Linked DNA regions of Mus musculus. The protein of the gene in region 4 interacts with the protein of the main gene of each other region in a biochemical or structural test. Links are inferred from orthologs where the notes say so. Each region holds a gene or a part of one and is shown on either strand. Other genes may lie near its edges.

Evidence for each region.
Region 1: of the proteins of Irak1 (region 4) and Irak4, one has a biochemical effect on the other in vitro, tested with the Homo sapiens proteins (2 studies listed by BioGRID). The link is inferred for Mus musculus from reciprocal best matches to the Homo sapiens genes IRAK1 and IRAK4.
Region 2: the proteins of Irak1 (region 4) and Irf7 form a complex in vitro, tested with the Homo sapiens proteins (2 studies listed by BioGRID, with this or other methods). The link is inferred for Mus musculus from reciprocal best matches to the Homo sapiens genes IRAK1 and IRF7.
Region 3: of the proteins of Irak1 (region 4) and Peli1, one has a biochemical effect on the other in vitro, tested with the Homo sapiens proteins (5 studies listed by BioGRID and IntAct, with this or other methods). The link is inferred for Mus musculus from reciprocal best matches to the Homo sapiens genes IRAK1 and PELI1.
Region 5: the proteins of Irak1 (region 4) and Ikbkg form a complex in vitro, tested with the Homo sapiens proteins (3 studies listed by BioGRID). The link is inferred for Mus musculus from reciprocal best matches to the Homo sapiens genes IRAK1 and IKBKG.

The regions. Positions count from the first base shown.
Region 1 is NC_000081.6:94,560,307-94,564,734, forward strand, and holds part of Irak4 (interleukin-1 receptor-associated kinase 4), read left to right. Parts: intron 1-1,139; coding exon 1,140-1,323; intron 1,324-2,711; coding exon 2,712-2,774; intron 2,775-4,428.
Region 2 is NC_000073.6:141,263,241-141,268,272, reverse strand, and holds the start of Irf7 (interferon regulatory factor 7), read left to right. Parts: upstream 1-1,848; 5' UTR 1,849-1,883; intron 1,884-2,228; 5' UTR 2,229-2,636; coding exon 2,637-2,650; intron 2,651-2,733; coding exon 2,734-2,896; intron 2,897-2,981; coding exon 2,982-3,198; intron 3,199-3,489; coding exon 3,490-3,548; intron 3,549-3,617; coding exon 3,618-3,780; intron 3,781-3,957; coding exon 3,958-4,050; intron 4,051-4,224; coding exon 4,225-4,614; intron 4,615-4,698; coding exon 4,699-4,817; intron 4,818-4,892; coding exon 4,893-5,032.
Region 3 is NC_000077.6:21,139,474-21,143,901, forward strand, and holds part of Peli1 (E3 ubiquitin-protein ligase pellino homolog 1), read left to right. Parts: intron 1-1,090; coding exon 1,091-1,220; intron 1,221-3,082; coding exon 3,083-3,184; intron 3,185-4,428. UniProt on the Homo sapiens protein: E3 ubiquitin ligase catalyzing the covalent attachment of ubiquitin moieties onto substrate proteins. Involved in the TLR and IL-1 signaling pathways via interaction with the complex containing IRAK kinases and TRAF6.
Region 4 is NC_000086.7:74,020,544-74,025,617, reverse strand, and holds the start of Irak1 (interleukin-1 receptor-associated kinase 1), read left to right. Parts: upstream 1-1,696; 5' UTR 1,697-1,872; coding exon 1,873-2,008; intron 2,009-2,019; exon of another isoform or gene 2,020-2,084; coding exon 2,085-2,252; intron 2,253-2,420; coding exon 2,421-2,552; intron 2,553-2,665; coding exon 2,666-2,769; intron 2,770-2,953; coding exon 2,954-3,145; intron 3,146-3,368; coding exon 3,369-3,433; intron 3,434-3,654; coding exon 3,655-3,769; intron 3,770-4,556; coding exon 4,557-4,675; intron 4,676-5,074.
Region 5 is NC_000086.7:74,446,284-74,450,711, reverse strand, and holds part of Ikbkg (NF-kappa-B essential modulator), read right to left. Parts: intron 2,854-4,428; coding exon 2,792-2,853; intron 2,496-2,791; coding exon 2,353-2,495; 3' UTR 1-2,352. UniProt on the Homo sapiens protein: Regulatory subunit of the IKK core complex which phosphorylates inhibitors of NF-kappa-B thus leading to the dissociation of the inhibitor/NF-kappa-B complex and ultimately the degradation of the inhibitor.

The DNA.
Region 1 (4,428 bases), on a different chromosome or scaffold from region 4:
CCAGTCAGGAACTGAGTTAGAAGCAGGGTTGTACGAAGGAGAGAGTGGAAGGAAGAAAGCTGGGAGGGGAATGTAAACAGACGTCTTATGGTATTTCGTGATATTGTGACACTTGAAGCAGATATGTCATTTAGGAAATATATAAATGTGTGTGTGTGTATGTGTGTGTGTGTGTGTGTGTACACATCCCAGGGATTTTGAAGGAAGGACAGGAGAAAGATTGCAGTGGTTTGGTTCGAATTTTGTTCCTAAACGTACGGAGAAATGTTAGGAGAGGAGTTAAGAAATTACCTGAGACTCATCTCACCCTGACACAGAAAGACAAATATCACATGTTCCCACTTATTTCTAGAAACCTGTCTCAGGGAACTTGGGAATACAAGAGTGTTGGATACAAGGCAAGGAGGTCAGGAGAGGAGACAGAGACATCATTAAACAAGGCCGAGCCATGGCTTCTGCATCCTCCTCAGCTCAGTAGAACTATAGGCTCAGACGGCCTGTGTAGCTGTGAGAACACAGACTCCCAGCACATACAAACGGCCGGTGACATGTAGAGGCTGACATGTTCCAAGTCCCATGGGACTCTTACACACTGTGGGCCAGACTGGACCACCACGGTGTACTGCATAAGACGTCCATATACCCCAGTGGGTGCTTTTGACTTAGGAATATCTCTCAGTAGAAAAGCCACTGCCTAGCTTCAGTGAACTGTGGGGTACTTGGTCACCGGACCCACTAAAAAAAAAATTTTTTTTAAGAGAAAGTGCCACTCGGAAGGCTTTGTGTGTTGTTACTAGTAAATAGCTATCAGTGTCATGCTGAAAATGCACCTCCCTTAAGAGGAAATTTTATTATGTCTTTATTCCCTTCAACATCTCCCAAGATAAGAAAGGAGAACAATTATTTTTCTCTTGCTGTCATCTGAATAATTGACTGATTTGAATATATTTCAGTCTTCTCTACTGCACATATAAAATGACACACAATGTGACATGTGCGTATATAATATATAATATATAGTATGTAGAATGCATGATATATATATATATATATCACATTATATACCTCTTCCTAAGAACCTGTTGGATATCCTAGGCAAGAAGCATGTTTTCCACCTTCAAATTTAATTTGTTTTCCAGTGCAAATATCTTACTAGACAAAGACTTTACTGCCAAAATATCTGACTTTGGGCTTGCACGGGCTTCGGCAAGGCTAGCGCAGACGGTCATGACCAGCCGAATCGTGGGCACAACGGCTTACATGGCACCCGAAGCTTTGCGGGGAGAAATAACACCCAAATCTGACATCTACAGCTTCGGCGTGGTACGTGATCGCTGTCTTTATTGTTTTGCGCGTATTTTATAGTGTGTGTGTACGTGCACATGCCACGGCATATGCATGCCAAGAGCCGGAGGGAGGGTAGCTTTCGGGAGCCAGTTCTCTCCTTCCACCATGTTGGTTCCAGAGGTCAGATGCAGGTCGCCAGGCTTGGTGGCAGGAGCCTTTACTTTGCTAAGCCATCCTGCCAACCAATGATCATTCTTTTTAAACTGTGATTTAAATTAGAATATTTTGGTGCATGAGTCTTTTTTTCCTCTCCTATGATGTAGTCTCCCCTCCCCCAGCCTGAAACCTGCTTGCTCAGGGGTGGAGCTTCCCGCTCAATCTTTCTGCCACGCCCACTGCTGGAACCTGCCGCTTTGCTGGTCCGAAGCCATCCCGTGATCACCCTGCTACTGGACTCCAAGATTATTTGGCGGGAATTGGGCCCCTCCCCCTTCCTTTATAACGGAGTGCCGAAATAGTAAAAATTGAACCTTGAGCAGAGAGCTTTGTCTTGGTTCCTTCCTTATCTCGCGCAGCCCAGCCCCTCTTCTCTTCCAGGTTTCCAAAATGCCTTTCCAGGCTAGAACCCAGGTTGTGATCTACTGGCCAGACACAACACTATATAAATATATAAACTATTCACACTAGCCTCTGGTGACACCAGAAGGTTTATGAGTGATTCCCAATATGTAAAATGTTTGAGTTGATTTCTTTTTTAATGACTGCAAGAAAATACTGTCTCATCGTGAATCCAAACGAACCTTAAGCTGAGCCCGCGCACAAACTCAATCACGTCACCTAACGTGGATCTCTTTTCTCTTCCCTTTTCTGTCATTTTATCATCTAACAACCAGAGGCAAAGAATGTGGGGTAAGATTAATGAGGCTTTGTCTTCATCTTTGTTCTCCAAATAGATTTCATTTGTGGGAACTTTACCCCACCTAATATTAAGGCATGGGGTTGTAGAATGTGGCTACTGGTTAGAAAATATGATTCTCCCCAGGGCCCTGTAAGACATAGAGCATGCCGGGCATGGTGGCGCATGCCTTTAATCCCAGCTCTCAGCAGGCAGAGGCAGGCAGATTTCTGAGTTCGAGGCCAGCCTGGTCTATAAAGTGAGTTCCAGGACAGCCAGGGCTACACAGAGAAACCCTGTCTCGAAAAAAAAAAAAAAAAAAAAAAAGCATAGAGCACAGAGATCCCAGAACAGATGTTGAGTAGAGTTTCTTTGGTCCTCATATCCCATCAATATCAGTGCTCCAGGCCACTGGTTAGCCCAAGAAAGCCTAGCTTAGCAGGTTTAAGTCCCTGGACTCAGTCCACATGCCCTTTAATCTCTGCTGATGTCTCCAGTGTTTTGCTAATGGGTCCCTTTGCCTTCCTAGGTTCTGTTGGAGCTGATAACCGGGCTGGCGGCTGTGGATGAAAACCGTGAACCTCAACTACTGGTTAGTAAGTCCTTTTTTCCTGCCTGCTCCTCTCCTGCCTTTATGGTCTTAGATGCACGTGGGTAACTCCGGCACACAGGAATGGCATTTTCTGACAGAATACTGGCTCCGTGAACTGACACACTGACAGCGCGTGCTGTATTTCCAACCTTGGGTTTGCTGGGCTGCATTTGTGAAGCCTAAAAAGGTCATTCATGCAGTCTTTGTCCCAGTGTCTTTGTGGGCAAAGGGAGACGAAAGCTGTAGTTTATTGCTTTCCAGTTTATTACAATCTGTAGTGTATGGGCCCTGGGTGGTGAGACTACCTTTAAGTCATGAGAGGGGGAAAAAAAACATAGCTTCTGTTTGTATCTGCATATGAATATAAATGCCAGTAGAAGCTCTTTATTTCACTGTGGAGAGTTTGACTCGCAGAGTTAAAACACTCCCCTCCTGCACTACCATTTCCCACTTCTAATTTGTACACTGAACATTCGATTGATAATTTGTAAGTAGATGAGTTAAATGGTAAGTAAACTACAGATAAATTATGCTATGTCACATTATATATGTCTTTAAAAATATCTAAAGATACATATCATATATAAATGTTTCTCAAAATTAACAACTGTATTCCTTTTATTCTAATTTATTCACAGGCCCTAATAGAGCAGAAGAGTATGAACAATTCAGACAGTAGATATATATACTAGATCGTGTCCCAGAATTAGGGTAGACCATCAGAAGGTTTGACTTCCTTGTTCAGTCTTGGCACCAGAGCTGAAGAGATGGCTCAGCCGCCAGGAGCCCACAGGGTTTTCCCCGAGGCCACAGTTTAGTTCCCAGCACACATGTTAGGTGTCATGCCACTGCCTGTCACCCCAGCTCCAGGGGCGGAAACCCGTGACCTCCCCAGGCACCTGCACACTTGTGCACATGCCCACATAAAGACACACACAGATACAAACGGACAATTAAAATAGGACTTCGAAATGACAGCCAAAGTCTTAGTGTGAACACTAATCTGAGTAAACTGTAGTATGTGAGTCTGTTACCAATGTCCACCATAAAGCAAAGACGTCCATGGTCTGCTGGAAATGTAATGTTAAAATCATGTATGTAATATATATACATTGGAAGATATTTATGAATATTCTCATGGGATTCAAATTTTTTTAAATGGCAAATCAAAAAGTTAAGTATTACATAAACCAGAAATATAAAATTCGGGCTGGTGAGATGGCTCAGTGAGTAAGAGCACCGACTGCTCTTCCGAAGGTCCAGAGTTCAAATCCCAGCAACCACATGGTGGTTCACAACCATCTGTAATGAGATCTGATGCCCTCTTCTGGAGTGTCTGAAGACAGCTACAGTGTCTAGAATAAATAAATCTTAAAAAAAAAAAAGAAATATAAAATTCTCTGTCCCATTCATTGCTGGGGGTCAAGAGAGAAGCCTGAACCGGAGATGTTCATGATTGACCTATTCATTATAAGGACATAGATAAAGTTCGGGATGGGGACTAGATTAAGACCATAAACATGGGAAATGCAGAGGCCAGTGAGATGTTCAGTGCATAAACGTGCTACCAACTAGCCTGAGGTCAATCTTTTGACCTGAGAACTGATTCTTTCAAGTTGTCCTCTGACCTCCCACCCATCCCCAAATGAATAAA
Region 2 (5,032 bases), on a different chromosome or scaffold from region 4:
CCATCTCTCCAGCCCTGAATACTTTTAAATATCCAGTTTTATGCATTTATACATACAATGTATCTTTTGACTTTCATTTCGGCTGGTGATTTCCATGCCCCAGTCTCCCTTGTCATTTTCTTTCCCCCTTGTTGGAAGCCTTCTTAACAAGTCCCCTTCCTCCTTTTCCGTCTTCTCAGTATCCCTCTGAGTTTAACTAGTTTCTATTTAAATGTTTTGTTTGGTTTTGGTGTTTTTAAATTTTTACTTTTATGTGTATCAGTGTATGATCTACATGCATGTCTATGTGACAGTGTCAAATTTTGGAGTTACAGTTGTGAGCTGCCATGTGGGTGCTGGATTTGAACCCCTGTTGTCTAGGAAGAGCAGTTCGTGCCCCTAACCACTAAGCTATTTCTTAGTTCTAGCTTCTTGACCCAGCTGGAACAAGGACAATTTAATCACTGAATAAAGGACACCCCCTTCCCTAAAGGTCTACCCACTGCAATAAGAAGCTTCTTTGGCCAGGTATGGTGGGTGGCGCACGCCTTTAACCCCAGCACTTGGGAGGCAGAGGCACGTGGATTTCTGAGTTTGAGGCCAGCCTGGTCTACAGAGTGAGTTCCAGGACAGCCAGGGCTACACAGAGAAACCCTGTCTCAAAAAACAAAAACAAAACAAAACAAAACAAAAGATTCTCTGAAGAAGGATGGACACAACCCTTGACTGTGGAGATATATTATATATATTTAGTTGTGTGCCAGAAGAGGGCATCAGGTCCCATTAAAAATGGTTGTGAGCCACCGTATGGTTGCTGGGAATTGAACTGAGGACTTCTGGAAGAGCAGCCAGGGCTCTTAACTATTGAGCTGCCTCTTCAGCTTCCAGGGTCTTACTCTATAACACAGGTTGGCCTCAATCCTTCTGCTTCAACCTCTGTCCAGATGGTATATTCTTCCCAGATGGTATACTTTTGTTGTTGTTGTTGTTGTTTTTTGTTTGTTTGTTTTTTGAGACAGGGTTTCTCTGTGTAGCCCTGGCTGTCCTGGAATTCACTTTGTAGACCAGGCTGGCCTCGAACTCAGAAATCTGCCTGCCTCTGCCTCCCAAGTGCTGGGATTAAAGGCGTGCACCACCATGCCCAGTTTACTTTTTTTTTCAGATTTATTTATTTATTATATGTAAGTACACTGTAGCTGTCTTCAGACACACCAGAAGAAGGAGTCAGATCTTGTTACGGATGGTTGTGAGCCACCTTGTGGTTGCTGGGATTTGAACTCAGGACCTTCAGAAGTGCAGTCGTGCTCTGACCTGCTGAGCCATCTCACCAGCCCCCAGATGGTATATTCTTATCTGTACCATTCTCAGTGTTAAGCCAAATTGTACCATAGTCTCTCTTTAGACTCCACTTTCTAAGATTTTTTTCAGCCAGCTAAACAAAACAAATAAACAAACAAAACCTACTGACTGTTGTGGGTATCCCTGCCTTGTCCCAATGTGCTTTCCTGAAGAGGTCCTGGGGAAAGACCTTTCCCACACTTCCACCAGGGGCTGAGCCTGGCAGATAGACCTCCACCTACTTACTATTCTTACTGTCCTCCAAGACATGGCTGTTCTGTCCAAAGCAGGGTCAGCCTCTCTCATTGAATCTACAAAGAGCCTGGAAGACTGAATCTGAGAGAGTGATCAGTGAAGGGCAGTGAAGAGAAGCTGGGGGGTGGGGGGGGAACAGGAGGGAAGGATTTGCAATTGAGTGCTACAAACTAGTGACACCCTAGTGACGTCTGGAGCCCTTAAGCCACACCCTGCCTGGGCTCTGCCCCGCCTCTGCCCGAAGTACTATAAAAGCACTGGCACCCTCCTTTTCACTGAGATAAAACCCGTCCCGGCGGCTCCGGTACCAGGTATGTGGGACTCTTGGGCCACTCGGGGAGGGAGGTGAGCTAGTGCCACAGGGGAAATTCTTGTCCCCTCTACAGAGTAGTGAGTGATCAGTGAAGGGCAGTGAAGAGAAGCTCGGGGGAAACAGGAGGGCAGACGTCCCGGCAGGATTTGCAATTGGGTCTGCAGGGATTGGGATCTGAGTAAGGGTCGGGTGTAGTTTGAGGACTGCACTGGTAGGCATGGAGACAGTGGAGACAGCGGGAAGCCAGCAGCTACCGGGCGCTGTTTAGACTGTTTAGGTTTCATTTTCCTGAGATGCAGTTTCGTTTTACTCGTCTGGGCCCGCCCCTTTTGTGTCTTCGCAGGGTCCAGCCTGTGACAGCCCATCCAGGCTCGGACGCTGGATTAACACCTGTGACATCACGTGTGCGCTCCCGCTACATCTGTAGTCACATCTACAGCCACCTTGGCAGAGGAATCTACACTGAGTTCTGAACCTAGGTGACCACAAGTTCTCAAACCTCATCTGTGACCCTCAACACCCTAATACCTGGGTCACACTTGTGAAACTGAAATTCCTACCTGTTACCAACACTTGTAACGTTTAAAACACATTTGTGAAACTTGGTCACACTATCTGTGGCTACAACCTAAAACCATAGAGGCACCCAAGGGGCCTTATTTGCAATAGCTGACTGCTCCAGTGACTACAAGGCATCACAGAGTAGTAGCATCTACTTTGATTCTCCCAGACTGCCTGTGTAGACGGAGCAATGGCTGAAGTGAGGTGAGAACATGTCTACCCTGGTTGTATTGGGTCCTGTGTCCCTTACATTAGCCCTAACCCCAGCGTGGCTGCTCTGCCTGCAGGGGGGTCCAGCGAGTGCTGTTTGGAGACTGGCTATTGGGGGAGGTCAGCAGCGGCCAGTACGAGGGGCTGCAGTGGCTGAACGAGGCTCGCACAGTCTTCCGCGTACCCTGGAAGCATTTCGGTCGTAGGGATCTGGATGAAGAAGATGCACAGATCTTCAAGGTGGTACCCAGTCCTGCCCTCTTTATAATCTGCCAGAACTCCTGGGGGAATCCAGCCTCAACCCATGCTCTCTCCTCTCCTTCAGGCCTGGGCTGTGGCCCGAGGGAGGTGGCCACCTAGTGGAGTTAACCTGCCACCCCCAGAGGCTGAGGCTGCTGAGCGAAGAGAGCGAAGAGGCTGGAAGACCAACTTCCGCTGTGCACTCCACAGCACAGGGCGTTTTATCTTGCGCCAAGACAATTCAGGGGATCCAGTTGATCCGCATAAGGTGTACGAACTTAGCCGGGAGCTTGGATCTACTGGTGAGCAGTGCCACAAACAGGGATGGGCCAGGGAGGTACATGGCCTCTGTCATTTTGGTGGTTTCAATGGTTTGATTTGTGGTTTTTGAAACTAGTTGTAGATTCAGTTCCTCTCCTTCCAAAGTGTGTGTGTGTCGGGGTGGAGGGGGAGTGCACACTTCCTGCTAAGTCAGAGCCTTGGGCTGAGTGAGGTACCTGGTGGTTTGGGAACAGAGGGTATGAGAAATAGAGAACTTTTGGAACTGCTTGGGCATCGTAACCAAATCTCCCCTCCCCACTCCTCTCCCTCAGTGGGCCCAGCCACGGAAAATAGGGAAGAAGTGAGCCTCAGCAATGCTCTGCCCACACAGGTACATCTGGTCCATCCTTCCTAGGTGTGGGGGATCGGCAGGTGCCTACCACTATGCTGTCTATTACAGGGTGTGTCCCCAGGATCATTTCTGGCAAGAGAAAATGCTGGGCTCCAAACCCCAAGCCCTCTGCTTTCTAGTGATGCCGGGGACCTCTTGCTTCAGGTTCTGCAGTACAGCCACATACTGGAATCCGAGTCTGGGGCAGACCCCGTCCCACCACAGGCTCCTGGTGAGAGGCAGTTACTGTTACAGAGCTGGGGCTAAGCTAGAGAACACCCATCTGCCCAAGGCTGTATGAGAGGGAGGACAACAGAGTCCTTGCTGGGAGGAGGAAAGATAAGGATGTTAAAATGACAGGGGTGGGAAGCTGGGCTAAGATGGACAGGCAGCTCCAATTTGCCCTCAGGCCAGGAGCAAGACCGTGTTTACGAGGAACCCTATGCAGCATGGCAGGTGGAAGCTGTCCCCAGTCCCAGGCCTCAACAGCCAGCTCTCACCGGTGAGGATCTAGAGCGGAGGCGCTAGCACAGCTTTTCCTAGCCTCCCGGGCAGAATTCTGCCCTACTGCTCCTTCACACCTGCATCTCAGTAGGAGGTGAATGGGTCCTTGGCAGGGGGCATGGGACAAAATGCTCCACCCAAACCTACCACTCACAGCATGGTCTATACACAGAGCGCAGCCTTGGGTTCCTGGATGTGACCATCATGTACAAGGGCCGCACAGTGCTACAGGCAGTGGTGGGGCACCCCAGATGCGTGTTCCTGTACAGCCCCATGGCCCCAGCAGTAAGAACTTCAGAGCCCCAGCCGGTGATCTTTCCCAGTCCTGCTGAGCTCCCAGATCAGAAGCAGCTGCACTACACAGAGACGCTTCTCCAGCATGTGTCTCCCGGCCTTCAGCTGGAGCTTCGAGGACCGTCACTGTGGGCCCTGCGTATGGGCAAGTGCAAGGTGTACTGGGAGGTAGGCAGCCCTATGGGCACTACCGGCCCCTCCACCCCACCCCAGCTGCTGGAGCGCAACCGCCACACCCCCATCTTCGACTTCAGCACTTTCTTCCGAGGTCAGTAAGGTGTCTGGCTGGGGTGCTGTCCTCTGGGGCCTGGAGCCTTTCTTAACCTGCTCACCAGAGCTATCTCCTTAACAGAACTGGAGGAGTTTCGGGCTCGGAGGCGGCAAGGGTCACCACACTACACCATCTACCTGGGTTTTGGGCAAGACTTGTCAGCAGGGAGGCCCAAGGAGAAGACCCTGATCCTGGTGAAGGTAGAGCCTGGGTGGGCCAAGGGAAGGTGTGGGCTGCTAGGTAAGAAAGAGTCTTAACACATGTCCTTTCCACAGCTGGAGCCATGGGTATGCAAGGCATACCTGGAGGGCGTGCAGCGTGAGGGTGTGTCCTCCCTGGACAGCAGCAGTCTCGGCTTGTGCTTGTCTAGCACCAACAGTCTCTACGAAGACATCGAACACTTCCTCATGGACCT
Region 3 (4,428 bases), on a different chromosome or scaffold from region 4:
GACTTGTGGCAGAAAGGGTTTGTTCCACTTATACTTTATAGTCCATTATCACAGGAAGCCAGGGAAGGAGCTCAAAGCAGGAACTGTAGCAGAGACTGTGGAGGAATGCTACTTACTGGCTTGCTCAGCTTGCTTTCTTACATAACCTAGGACCACTTGCCCATGGGTAGTACCACCTGTACTGGGCTGGACCCTGCTGTATCAATAATCAATAATTAATGCCGCTCATACTGTCTTCTGAACACCCACAACAGACTATACTCCATTTCCCTCAAATGCCTCTACACAGTCAGTCTGATGGAGGCAGTTCTTCCCTGAGACACCCTCCTCCCAGGTGACTCAGCTTATGTCATATGTAGCAGTCATACATGGATTCATATTCTGGTTTGCCAGTGTCATTCTGGGACTTGAGAAAACTAATTGCTGTATGCCTGTTTAACCTAGCAGGTTTTGTTTGTTTTTGCTTTTGAGTGTAGGGTTAATTGACGTAGAGTTCAGTGCTTCCTGGGTGTGTGATACATGCCCAGATGTTTAAGTTTGTTTTCACTTTTCCGCACTTGTTTTATATGTCTTACTTGCTTGCCATGAGATTAACATGTGCTCTAGAGAAATGATTGGAAGAGTGAAGCAGCAGATGTAGATGTAACATAGTTGGAATAAAACTCAGTTGGATAGGAGCTGACAACACACCAGTGCTCTATTCAGGTAGTTAGGACTTTACAAGGCCAGACACTGCTTGTTTCAGAAGTTGAGCATTATGGTGTTGGGTTCACAATTAAAGGAGAATCTGTTTCAATTACTGCTGCAAAAAAATATACCTTAAAATATATCACAATATTTCTGTTACTCAGTTCTTGCTTATATAGATAACTTAAAGCTGTGTACAATACTTCTATGTGGTTCAAAACATAGCCAGACAGATCCTCATTTTGATTCAGACCCATGCAGCTGTTCTGGAGATGAGCAGTTGCTAGAAGGAATCTGCGGTCATCAAGGATTGAATGTACGTGGAGGCAAACAATAACTTTGCTTCATAGTAGTGTGATCCTTACAAGAGACCAGCTAAACTTTTTTTTTCCTTTCTTATCAGATATAATGGATCTCTCCCAAACGGTGATAGAGGAAGGAGGAAAAGTAGGTTTGCTTTGTTTAAAAGACCTAAGGCAAATGGGGTGAAGCCTAGCACCGTGCACATTGCATGTACTCCTCAGGCTGCCAAGGTAAGATAAAGTTGTAAAGAAGTTAACTTGGAAAGTTGAAATATTTTTATGTGTGGTCTGCAGTGCTTCACATTTCTGTTTTGAATTGATGGTATTTGAAAAGCTGCCATATGGAATTCCGCATTAAAAATGACAGACCAGAGGCAGGTAGAAATCAAAAGAAAATATCTTGATTCTCTAAGGCTGTCTGAGTTCTCTGGGTTTATTTTCTTCTTGGCATATGACATGCTTATGTTTTGCCCCACCTCCATGTGCAATGGGAGCACATTTTCAGCAGTGCCCACAGTGTAACTTCTCACCCTCGAGGCCTTGTCAGCCCTCCCAGCCCACTTCATTTCCTCACCAAGTTTTAGAGGCCAGGTGAGGAAATGTAACCGTAAGTTTAAAAGTAGTCAGTGTAAAAGTAGAGGAAGTTTTCAGTCCTCATTTTGCCTTGGAATTTCTCTTTCCAGTTTATAGCACAGACTGAATTAATTCAGTAATGTGGGGTCCAGATAAGAACAATTACAGAGTTCCTTGACTTCTAGAAGTTGTACATAAGCATTACATCATCTATGTTAGGTCCTTGTTAGGTTAAATAAATGAGCTGCATTAGAACTGGTAAATTGAAGTTGATTAGATTTCAGCCTTGTTTTATATCAAAGTTAGATATCAAGCCTTGATTTGGCTGCTCGTTGATTACTGTTTGAGAGCCGAAGAGTCTGTAGAAGGGCTGGTCTTCTAACCTGTTTCCTCCTGTTCCTTTGTAGAGAAGGCGTGTGTTCAGTAGACGCTGCAGCTCAGTCTGGGCTGCTCTGTAGTATTTGCGCATCTGGAATGTACCACATCTTCATTGTGCAGAACTGTCCCATGCATTACAAGATACTGAAATTCTTGGGTCCCGTGTACTAAAAGTCATTTAATCACTGCCATTATTGTTACAGTCAAACGCATTTAAGTATTTTCAAATGCCTCTTAGGTGTTTAATCTGGTCTCTGGTTGAGGACCACTGGCAAGGAGATGTTTATAATCTACCTCTAAAATACTTTCTCATTTTGTGTGTGCACATGCATGTATGTGTATGCAGCGAATGCGCCACCATGTCCGGCTGAAAAATAATTTTTTAATATTAGAATTTCAAAAGGCCTTACCTATTTTACAGATTACCTAAAAAGCAAAAACAAACATTTCCCCTTTTTACTATGTGTAGTTACTCTTGTATCTTTTTATCTGTTTTCCTCTTATAAAACCTTCTTTGTGCAATAACTAGGTTTTCCCCTTCTGATATTATCTTCAACTCATTAACATATGAAAACGAAGCTGAGCACTTCTTTTAGGAGAGCAGTTCAGCTTAGGATAAGTCAAAAATATGGCCATCAGAAATACATCTATTTCTTCTTGTAATGTTTAATCATCCTGTAGATTTTTCTGTATCTGATCTGGAATATGATAAAACTTGTCATCTGTAGGATTAGAAAAATGAACTCATAATTCTAGCTTAACTGTATATATAAATTTTTATGTCACTTTAAAAAAATTTTTTTCTTGCAAGATTTTGAATTTTTTCCTTATCAGAGATGGATGTTGGTTTTAGTTTCCATGTGGTATTTGATATTAATTCCCTTAGAATTTAAAGTGCTTTTAAGAGAAACACAGATTCTTAAGAAGCTTAAATTTATGTTTTTGTTCCATGACTATTAAAAAATATTCCCTCAACCTGAGGAAACCACAATTGAAGTTATATAGAGTTTCTTGCCTGTACCCAAAATTCCAGCGTGTGTGTGTGTGTGTGTGAGACAGAGAGAACATTTTACCTTCTTTAATGAAGATATTTTTCTGATTTAATGACTGCTAATATTTGCTGTTAACCCTTTCATTCATAGGCAATAAGCAACAAGGACCAGCATAGCATATCATATACTTTATCTCGAGCCCAGACGGTGGTGGTTGAATATACTCATGACAGCAACACTGATATGTTTCAGGTACTATAACATTATTGTTTTTTTTTCTTTAAAAAAGTTAAAAATCTGTTGTTGGTGACTTTGCTATGACTAGATTAAATATTATGCTTTCATGCTGTATGTTTAAAATATGTATTGATTTTTTTAACCTCATTTAAATGTCATTACAGTGTGGTTTAAAGATGGGCTCTGAAGTTAAGAGCACTTGCTGCTCTTGCAGAGGACTCGGGTTCCCAGCACCCTCATTAGGTGGCTCATAACTGCCTGGGACTCCAGTTCTAGGGAATCTGATATCTCTTCTGGCCTCCAAGAGCACTAGGCTCACCCATGGTGCACATATATGCATACAGGCACTCATACGTACACATGAAATAAAAAGAAAATAAAGAAGAGGGGGAAGGGACCGAGGGACCTAAACTCCTGGTAAACATTTAGCTACTCTGTGCCCCCATGTCCTCCTCTGCAGAGTGCAGAGGGTAGTCTCTCCCTCGGACCCCTGGGGGGGGGGTGGCGGGAGGGGGCACTACCTCCTACCTTCCTCTCTGAGCAACAAAAATTACAGATAATTTTCTAACTATTGACATCAGTAGTAGGGATTTGGTTTTCAGCACACGTCTGGGCAGAGCTACTATGTACTGGCTAGTTTTGTGTCAACTTGACACAGCTGGAGTTATCACAGAAAAAGGAGCTTCAGTTGAGGAAATACCTCCATGAGATCCAACTGTAAGGCATTTTCTCAATTAGTGATCAAGGGGGAAAGGCCCTGCTTGAATTCCAGTCCTGACTTCCTTGGTGATAAACAGCAGTATGGAAGTATAAGCCGAATAAACCCTTTCCTCCCCAACTTGCTTCTTGGTCATGATGTTTGTGCAGGAATAGAAACCATGACTAAAACAAATTGGTACCAGCATAGTAGGGTATTCCTGTGACAACCTGACCATGTTTTGGGGATGACTCTGGAAGGACTTTGGAACTTTGGGCTAGAAGATCCATTCGGTGTTAAGTGCTCTGTCAGACATTGTGTAGGAGATTGGAAGATAATGTTGAAAACAGTGCAGAAGATGGAGGCCTGGCTTTTGAAATGTCAGAGGGAAAATTAAAGACTTTTTCAGGGCCATTGCTATTTTGGATTGTGAAGATTCTGTGGTTCTGGTTAGCTGGGCCTGAAGAATCATCTGTGATTAACAAGATACCAAAACTACTAAAGCAAAAACTTTGCATTACTGGAACTATTGATGCTGGTTAGCTGGACCTAAGAAATTAGT
Region 4 (5,074 bases):
TAGTTTGACCTCATCTTGAGAGTGGCCACAATTACTGTGGCTTCAAAGAAGAGGCCCCAGTGGGAGCCAGCCATGGATCTTGTGTAGACCTTTCTGAAGACATACTATAAGTTCCTTAGAGGTCAGGCTAGTGAGAGAGAACCCTTTGTAGTTAGGATTGATATGACAAAAAGTGTTTGTTGGGGAAACTGGTCAGGAGAAGAAAGCTGCCGCTTTACAAGCATGCTTTCAGCTGGCCAAACAAGGAATACCAAGTTGCTGCCTGTGGATCATCCCTGGGCAGTGAGAAGTGAGAAAAGTTTAGAGGTACAGAACTCCAGCAAGCTCAAGGTGTGTTCAAGAGAGGAGCTGGGTTTAGGAAGTTTTCCCCACAGCTGTTTATGTTCAATCTTATCAGGAATGGCTACAGCAGGGGTGTATATGCAAACTCAATTTCAGAACAGAATAAGTTCTTTTCAGGACACCTACTAAACAGGGTTTGGGTTTTTTGTTTGTTTTGTTTTTTGTTTGTTTGTTTTTTTCAGGTTTGGTCTTGATCTGAGGTAGGGTTGCACTTTGTATCCCTGGCTGACCTGGAACTTAAACCATGCTAACCTCAAATTCACAGAGATTCACTTGCCTTTGTTTTCTGGGTGCAGGAATTAAAGGGGTGTACCACCAAGCCCAACATCTAAAGAGTTCTATCTGGCTTAAGGCTGTTGGTGTATATAAGTTCAGGTGGGTGGACAGAGGCTGGCTATGCCATCTTCCTAACAGCTCTTTTAAAGAGCTGGGCTTTAGTGATTTGTACTTGAGGAAGACCACCTGAGCAGGGAGCACTATCCAAGCCATACAGTCTGTGCAGGTGAGTGGCAATGGCTAATGCTAAGAGTAGTGCACTCATATGAAGAGGACTTCAGAGAGCATAATGAGAAAGTAGTGTGCGCTGAGATGTGTGTCATAGTGACCAAAAAGGCCAAAGAAAACCCTGAATGGAGAACAGTAGAGGAATAGGCAAGAGACACTCATTCATGTGGCTAAAGGTCACAACAGGTGGTATCACCAACAACTACTCTAGAAAGGGGTAGGAGAAGCTGCTAGACCCTACTATCCTTATGGAGAGAAGTGCAAACTAAGATAAAAGTGTGACAGAAAAAGGAAAGGGACATTTAGAGCCGAACACCATGTGTATGTTAAGAGACATAAATGTGTTAGTTGGAAAGCTAATTAGAATCCTGCACAGGCAGATTCTGTGATCTAACACTTGCTGGCCCAGCTGCTGGAAGGTTCCTGGGGGCGTGGTGGGGGCATGGAGATCTAGCACACAAGCAGTAGCATGGTATACACTCTTCCAGACCATTCTCAGGGCATCCATCCTTATCACCAAATGACTACAGTCTGCCAGAGGGCCATTTTGTTACCCATATTTAACCCTGACTGACCAACAATTTGGCTGGCTCTCAAACTGCTCCCCAACTAAAGCGAGGGTAGCCTCTCCGTGACTTTCACCAGGCTTGGCATAAACTGCCTTTGTAGAACATCGTGTAAAAACATCGTGCCCTTTGTCTCTAGAACTGGAAGTCATTCTTCATCCTGTTCAGCCCTATTCAGATGTTTGTGTAGGACCACAGACCTCGGTTCTCCCATTAGGGACTCCCTCCTACGTAGCAGAGCTCCTTCCCCGCGTCAAGGGCGGCGCGGGACGCCCCCGTGTGGCGGAAGGCCGCGGAGGGCAAGATGGCGGCGGGTCGAGCGCCGCCTCTTCCGCCCGGCCGGGTGTCGCACGAGGCCGGCCTGAAGGGGAAGTGAGTCAGTGTCCGCGGACCCGGCCCGCTAAGGCCCGCGCCCGCCGAGGCCCCGAGAGGCCTCGGCCCGGGGGCGGCGGCGGCGGCCATGGCCGGGGGGCCGGGCCCCGGGGAGCCTGTGGTTCCAGGCGCCCAGCACTTCTTGTACGAGGTGCCACCCTGGGTTATGTGCCGCTTCTACAAAGTGATGGACGCCCTGGAGCCCGCCGACTGGTGCCAGTTCGGTGGGTGACGGCAGGCCGGCGTGGGGTGGTGGACTCAGGCTTCTGGAGCTGAAGCCTGATGTTCCCCATCCCGCAGCGGCCTTGATCGTGCGCGACCAGACAGAGCTGCGGCTGTGCGAGCGCTCCGAGCAGCGCACAGCCAGTGTTCTGTGGCCCTGGATCAACCGCAACGCGCGCGTAGCTGACCTCGTTCACATCCTCACGCACCTGCAGCTGCTGCGTGCGAGGGACATCATCACAGCCTGTGAGCGAGCATAGCCCCAGGGACCCTAGGGATGGGAACCCAAGAGGGGTGACGGGTACAGAGTTTCCTGAGACAGGGAACCATATGGGAACTCCCCCCCCCCCACCCCTTCACTTAGAGATAGAGAGCTCTGAGTCACAACCCTCCTTTCCTTCCTTGTTATCCCAGGGCACCCTCCTGCCCCCGTTGTGCCCCCAAGCACCGCTGCCCCAAGGCCCAGCAGCATCTCTGCAGGCTCTGAGGCCGGGGACTGGAGCCCCCGGAAATTGCAGTCCTCTGCCTCCACCTTCCTCTCCCCAGGTAAAAAGAACCCGGGTGTTGGGCTTGATATGCCTGAGGAAAAGGCCACCATGACTGCTGACATGGCTGTAGACTGCTGCTGGTCTCTGCCTCTCACTGCCATCTTTATGAAGCTTTTCCAGGCTCCCAGACCCATTCTGAGTCAGAGCTCCTCCAGGTTCCACTCCCTGTTTCCCTCGGGCCACCACTACCATCTTCAGCCCCTTCCTCCACCAAGGTAGGTGTCTCTTAACCCCCAGGGAATTTTCCAGACAAAGAGGAAGAAACTTAACCTTTGGTGTACCACAGAGCCCAAATCAGCACAGCCAGGTCATCTGAGAGACAACTAGTGTTGAAGGGAGCTTTCAACCTGGACCAAAGGGAATAGATAGGGTCCTCGCCTGGTCCATGGTCTCTTCCAGCAGTCAAGCCCAGAGAGCCCAGTGTCTGGCCTCCAAAGAGCCCATCCCTCCCCGTTTTGCTGGCCCTTCTGTGAGATTTCCCAAGGCACCTGCAACTTCTCTGAAGAACTCAGGATTGGAGAGGGTGGTTTTGGATGTGTGTACCGAGCAGTCATGAGAAATACTACATATGCTGTGAAGAGACTGAAGGAGGTAGGTGTAACATTGGGGTAGACACCTGGAAGACAATCTATCAGTCCTTATTTGTCTAGTTCCTCCCTCCATCAGCCCCTCACTTCTGCAGTCTCCAGCCTCCCCAAGCAATTCCTTCAAGGACCCCAAGCCTTCCATAGATTTGGGCCTGGAAACAACTGGCAAGCTTGGCTCATGTCACCTACTTTCCCTACCTCTTACCCCACCATGCCTGGGGCTACAGGAAGCTGACCTAGAGTGGACTATGGTGAAACAGAGCTTCTTAACAGAGGTGGAACAGCTATCAAGGTGAGCCTTGGGGGTCCCTCCTGTCTAGGGGCACAAGGTGAGCCACACCACGGCCTCATCAGTCTTTAGGACTGCACAACACAAGATCTGGCTCCCTTGGGCCCTCAAGGCCTGGCCTGGCATGGGTGAGGGAACATCAAGTGCTGCCTACCTAGCCTGGCCTGATGAAAAGTAGTAGAACCCAGAAAATTAAAGAACTCAGACTCCACTCTTTATAACAGGTTTCGTCACCCAAATATCGTAGACTTTGCTGGCTACTGTGCAGAGAGTGGCTTATACTGCCTTGTTTATGGCTTCTTGCCCAATGGCTCCTTGGAGGATCAGCTCCACCTTCAGGTAGTCCTTGCTGATCTGGCACCTTTATTGGCATAGCCCCTTAGCCTGTGTCAGGCAGGACTTGGGCTTCTGGCTCCCCCTCAAACTCAAGATTTGGCCCAGGGTTTTCTTTCTTCCTTTTTACTGGCTTGATTGTTTGAGACAATACCTCACTACCCAGCTCAGGCTAGCCTCAAGCTGGCAATTCTTCTGCGTCAGCCTGCTCTATGCTAGAGTTACATTACACTCAGCTTGGCCCAAGATTTTCCATACAATTCTTTCCTCTGTCCTCTCCCCACTGTTCCTCTATTGGGAGTTATTGGCTTTGCAAGCAGAGTAGCTAAAGGATTTAGTATTTAGTCCACATATAGCTCTTGAGGAATGAGGACCAGTGGAGACAGGCTGTCAGACTGAACCCAAGCTTGAGCCATGCCTGAATGTCATACTCACAAGCCACCACATATACAGGATAAGAGCTTCCTTCTCAAACTGTTTTGAGAGAGGAGAGGGAGAAGGGCACCAGCACTTTCTGTTAGGTAGAGCTGAGCCCATCACATTTTGTCTTGAGTCCTGTGAAATGTTCCTAGCTGGTATCCCAGCTGTAGAGTGCTTGCCAAAACCTTCGGTATAGCTTTAGCTACCACTTGCTCGTGAATTAGGTCATAGACAGTCTTACTCCTCATTCTCCAGAGGCTCAGAATAAAGCTTGCCCCAAGCCGCACAGTGACAGGTGAGGGGAATTTGGGGGGGGGGGGTCAAAGAACAGCTGCCCTGAGCTGCCTCTGTGCTTCTGTCTTTGTCACTCCAGACCCAGGCCTGCTCCCCACTTTCCTGGCCTCAACGACTGGACATTCTTCTGGGCACAGCCCGGGCTATTCAGTTTTTACATCAGGATAGCCCCAGCCTTATCCATGGAGACATCAAGAGGTGAGGAGGGGCTCAGAAGAGCTATAGAAAGTCATATGGCCAGGGAGACAGTGACCCTCTGCTCAATGAACAGCTCTGTTCTGAGTGTCCCTGTGATATTCTTCCTGCCCAGTCCTGTGAATATGGGAACAGGTGTTGCCTGGGACCTCAGAGCTGAGAGTACTTAGGGCTATGAGTACCCCTGCATGGTGCAAGTATACAAATAAAGCCACGGTGGTGAGCAGAAGCCAAACAATGTGAAGGGGCTCAGGGACTGCGGGCCCTCAGACAGCTGGGATGCAATGCAGCCACTTTCCATAAGCAGTACGCCTCTAGTCCAGTTTATCAGGACCATTTGGGTGTAGGGGACAGAAAAACAGAAAGGTAGTAGGACCTGAACTGGTGCCATTCTTCCGTTTG
Region 5 (4,428 bases), about 430 kb from region 4:
CTTGTGCCACCCTCAGATTTGTCTTGACCAGTGCATGAAGCCCATGTTTTCAAGCTTCCTACTGTGTAACCTGGGTCACACCTGCTTTCTGGGACCCTTTCAGGATAAAGTACTGGTCAGAAATGCACCTATGCATCTCTGTTTATCCAAGAAGCGTGAAGCTCATGCAGCCACTGCAGGCAGCCCAACAGCTCTCTCCTACTATAGCCAACCTGCCTTTCCCAATCATTCCCACTGACCCTACTAACAGCATCAAGCACTGACAAGGGTCTGCCTTCAAACTCTGAAGACTACTGGTCATCACCCTAGAGACCAGGTCTCTCTAGCAGAATTACAAGGCTTTAAAGGCCCTGCCTTTGGGCTGCATTTACTCAGGTTCTGATGATATCCATACTCCGGGTTATATAAGCCCAAACCCCCATAATGTGAGAACAAGACTTTATTTGGGGAAAGGATCTTGGTAGGTGGAATGAGTTAAGGGTCTTGAACTGGAGATCCTCCTTAATCTAATCAAATAGACCCCACATGCACAACATGGTTTCCTTATGAGACAGAAGAGAGGAAGAAACCACAAGGCCCTAGAACCAGAAACTGGAGTGATGGGTCTATGAGCCAAGCAACACCAAGGACTACCACAAACCACTGAAAGTTAAGAGAATGCCTGGAATTGATTCTCACAGCCTCCAGAAAAAACTTAATATGTGGCTTCCAGACAGGAAAGAGTGATTTGTTGTTGTTGTTGTTGTTGTTGTTGTTCTTGCTCTTCCAAGTTTAGGAAAAATTTTAAAGCAGCTATAGAAAAGTGATATATACCACCACAAAACTGGACTCAACCTAAACCAATAGTATTCCTAAAGGAAAATTATAGATTAGGTATTTAAATGAAAACACATAAGCAAAGAACTTGTTTGTTCCTTTAACATTTTCCTAAAGATCTTTCTGATAGATACCTGGGAATTAGGAAATGGAAAACTTACTCTGCATCCCCTGAAAATTCCGAGAAAGCCCCCAGCTCAGGATTACTTTTTAAATCCTTTTTTATAATCTGAATTCTACTTAGCCTTCTCACTCTTAATGGGAAAGAAACCATGTAAATAAAAGCCCCCGGGATGGATTCACAGATACCACTCAGAACCATGAAAGCTTACAGGAGGGCAGGAAGGATTTAGACCTAAGGAATGAGCAAGGCATATTTATTGCTTTCTCAACTACAACTTCCTTTCCTTTACTAGAACTGCAGGTCTAATACCAATGACGGTAAGGTCCCACAAAATGTCTAGAACCTTGCAAAACAAGTGAAGTGTTCCCTTTTCTGTGATCAGTCAGTCACTGCTAAATGGTTCCCTAGGACATTTTGGCTGGTGAAGAACATGTGATCACAAACTCCAGGAGTGTGATGAACTATGGCCACCACCATTCACAGAAGGTAACAATGTGCTTGGCAAAAACAAGAGCACACTGGGGCTAGAAAAAGGAAAGCATACATGTGAAATACCTTTCTGTTGACAAAGCAGTCATAATTCCAAAGTCAAAAAACTAGGAGTAAAGAATGGGTAAGTAGGAGTATAAAACAGCTTCTAGGCCCCAAAACACTAACAATCAATGTGGAACAAGGGGTGCACTTCTGTAATAGTCAAAACCAACCTGACTGATAATCAAAAAGCTCTACAAAGCCCAAGAACAAATGGCAATGTCCCAACAGAAAAATGGGTAGGAATTATGAAAATCCAAGTTACATCAGAGGAATTAAAAAGGGCCCACATGCCCCAGAAAAAGACACTTAAGCAAATTCTTTAGTAAAGAATGGTATATCTTAGAGATGGCAAAAATCCAAAGGTCTGCCCACCTCCTCCAGGGCAAGGATCCAATGTCACATCTAAGCATCTGTCCTAAAGGTACACACAGATCAGTGTACAAGTACTTTCACTACACCATTAATTACAGTAACAAAAGGACAGAATACTTTCCACATGTCTACCAGAGGTAACACATGTTATAGACCCAAGTGCCACATGCCCTGGGAGGAGAGCCTGCAGTTCACCGGCAAGAAAGGTACCAGTTGGAGAGAAGAAAAGCTGTACCCAGACCTGCTTGGAGAAGGGATGCTCCCTAAGAGCCCCTGGCCTCCATTCTAGACTCCCTAGGACTATGGGAGAAGAGGGAAGAAGCCACCAGAGGCAAACTGGATCAGGCACACAGAAAAAAAAAAGCCCTGAATGGGGCTGTCTACCCTAAATGGGGGACCAAAGGGCTAAAGCAAGCCCTTAAGTGTGGACTATGCAGGTAAAACAGGAAAGCACAAGTCACACAGATCAGGACATAGTACTGCAAGTGGCCTTGCATCTGCTGCTCCTACTCTATGCACTCCATGACATGTATCTGTAGAGTGTCCATATCAGGAGCCTGATACTGGCACTTCGGACAACAGAAGTCAGGAGGTTCTTCAGGAGGGCTCCTCCGCTGGTTGGACAAGGCCAAATGAAAGGAGTGGTGAGCTGAGAAAAAAGAACACAGGAGTGTGATGAACTATGTAAGTACTTCATGCACAGCCTAGGTAGGCCTCAAATGGAAAGGGGGGCTAACAAGGTGCTGAGACTTACTGATACCACCATATTTGACTACATTGCTGGGAGCCACCTCCACCAGCACATTTTTCCTTTGACCTCAGAGTGATGTGGGCTACTGACAGGAGAGGTCAGCAAGAACTCCCCAAAGCAGAGCAGCAGAGAAACCAACACATGTTTCCCCTCCCTAAGCATCTCCTCCCATCATCTACCACTTGTTCACTTACCTGGAGCAGGGAGTAAAGGAGGCTGGGGAGTCTCTACATGCCGCTTCCTCATATCCTCAATCCTTTTGAAAACAGAAAGCATTCAATCAATGCTTATAGGGTTTTTTATGAATAAATACATTCATTTAGATATAATTCATGTACTATATAAGTCCCCAATTTAAACCGTATTGTTAGAGGGTTTTACTCTATTCAGCATATCCAATCATCAGCCTAATTTTAGAATATTTTATCATCCCCCAAAGGAAACTTTGTACTTATTAGGAATTATTCCTTGGGTTCCCCTATATTAGTTTCCTCAGAACCTTGTTACAAACTACCACATACTTAGTAACTTAGAATAACAAAAACGTGCATGATACAGATGACTAAGTGCCCCAAATAAACGTGTCAGAGGACTGGGCAGAATTACCATGCCCACCCCCTAGCTGCCAGTGGTTTACAAAGTGTTTGGCATTTCTTGGCTTGTAGCTGAATCTCAGAGTCTGCCTTAGCCTTCTTGTGGCAGCCTTCTATTATCTTAATTTGGTGCTTCTGTAAGTACCACAGTCAACTAATTAACCTAATGTGACCTTATATTAACTAGTTACATATATAAAGATACTAAACCAAATAAAGTCATATTTTGAGTTTTTAGATAGATACATTTGCACTGGTTAGGTTTTTGTTGTTGTTGTTTGTCATTTTGACAAAAGCTGGATTCATCTGATCAAAGTCATCTGATATTTACTCAACTGAGTATATTAGACTGGCCTATAGGCAAGCCTTTGGGGCATTTTCTTCATTGATAAGAGAAGACCTAGTTCCCTAGAGACAGTGCCACACCTCAAGCAATCACTTAGGTTGCAAAAGCAAGCAAGCCAAAAAGTCGTTCTTCCAAGGTTTTGACTTCAGTTCCTATCTCAAGTTCCTATCCATCAAGTGGTTAGAGCTTAACGGGCTGCTCTGTGGGAGCCAAGGAAGATAAGAATGCTGACACCAAAGCAAATGAAGTTTCAGAGGGAAGCAAAGATTCTATCAGCGTCATTTGTGTGGTATTTTGAATTAAGAATCTGCAGTTGAAGTCAGCTGAGGCTGAAGAATCAGGTGCGATGAACAAGAGATCAGCAGAACTCAAGTAAAACCTTTGCTTTACGAGGGAGGACAACTAATGCTGGTTAACTGAAGCTGAGAAATTAGCTGTGATTAAGAAGAAAACAGTATCACTGAGGTGAAATCTTTTAAAATCTAGAGAGTATCTCCTCAGGATCAGCACACAGGAGAGGGGACCAAGTAATATGAAGGCATCATGGAAAGCAGCTAAAGAAAGGGCTTGGCACTATTTCAGAGGTCAGGAGAAGGTGCACCCTCAGCTGCAGTGGAAACCCTAGCATATTGGATGCCAGTAACATGGGACAACCACCATGGAGAGCAGAAGCTGTGGCAAGTTTGTAAGGCATATCTTCAATTAATAATTGCTGTGGGATGGCCCAACCTATGGTAGGTGGTGCCACCCCTGGGCAGGTGGGCCTAGGTTGTATAAGCAAGCAAGCAAGCTGGACAAGCCAGAAAGCAGCATTCCCCTTTTGACTATACTTCACGTTCTGCCTCCAGGTGCCTGCTCTGCCTCTGTCATGGATTATAAATTATAAGCTAAA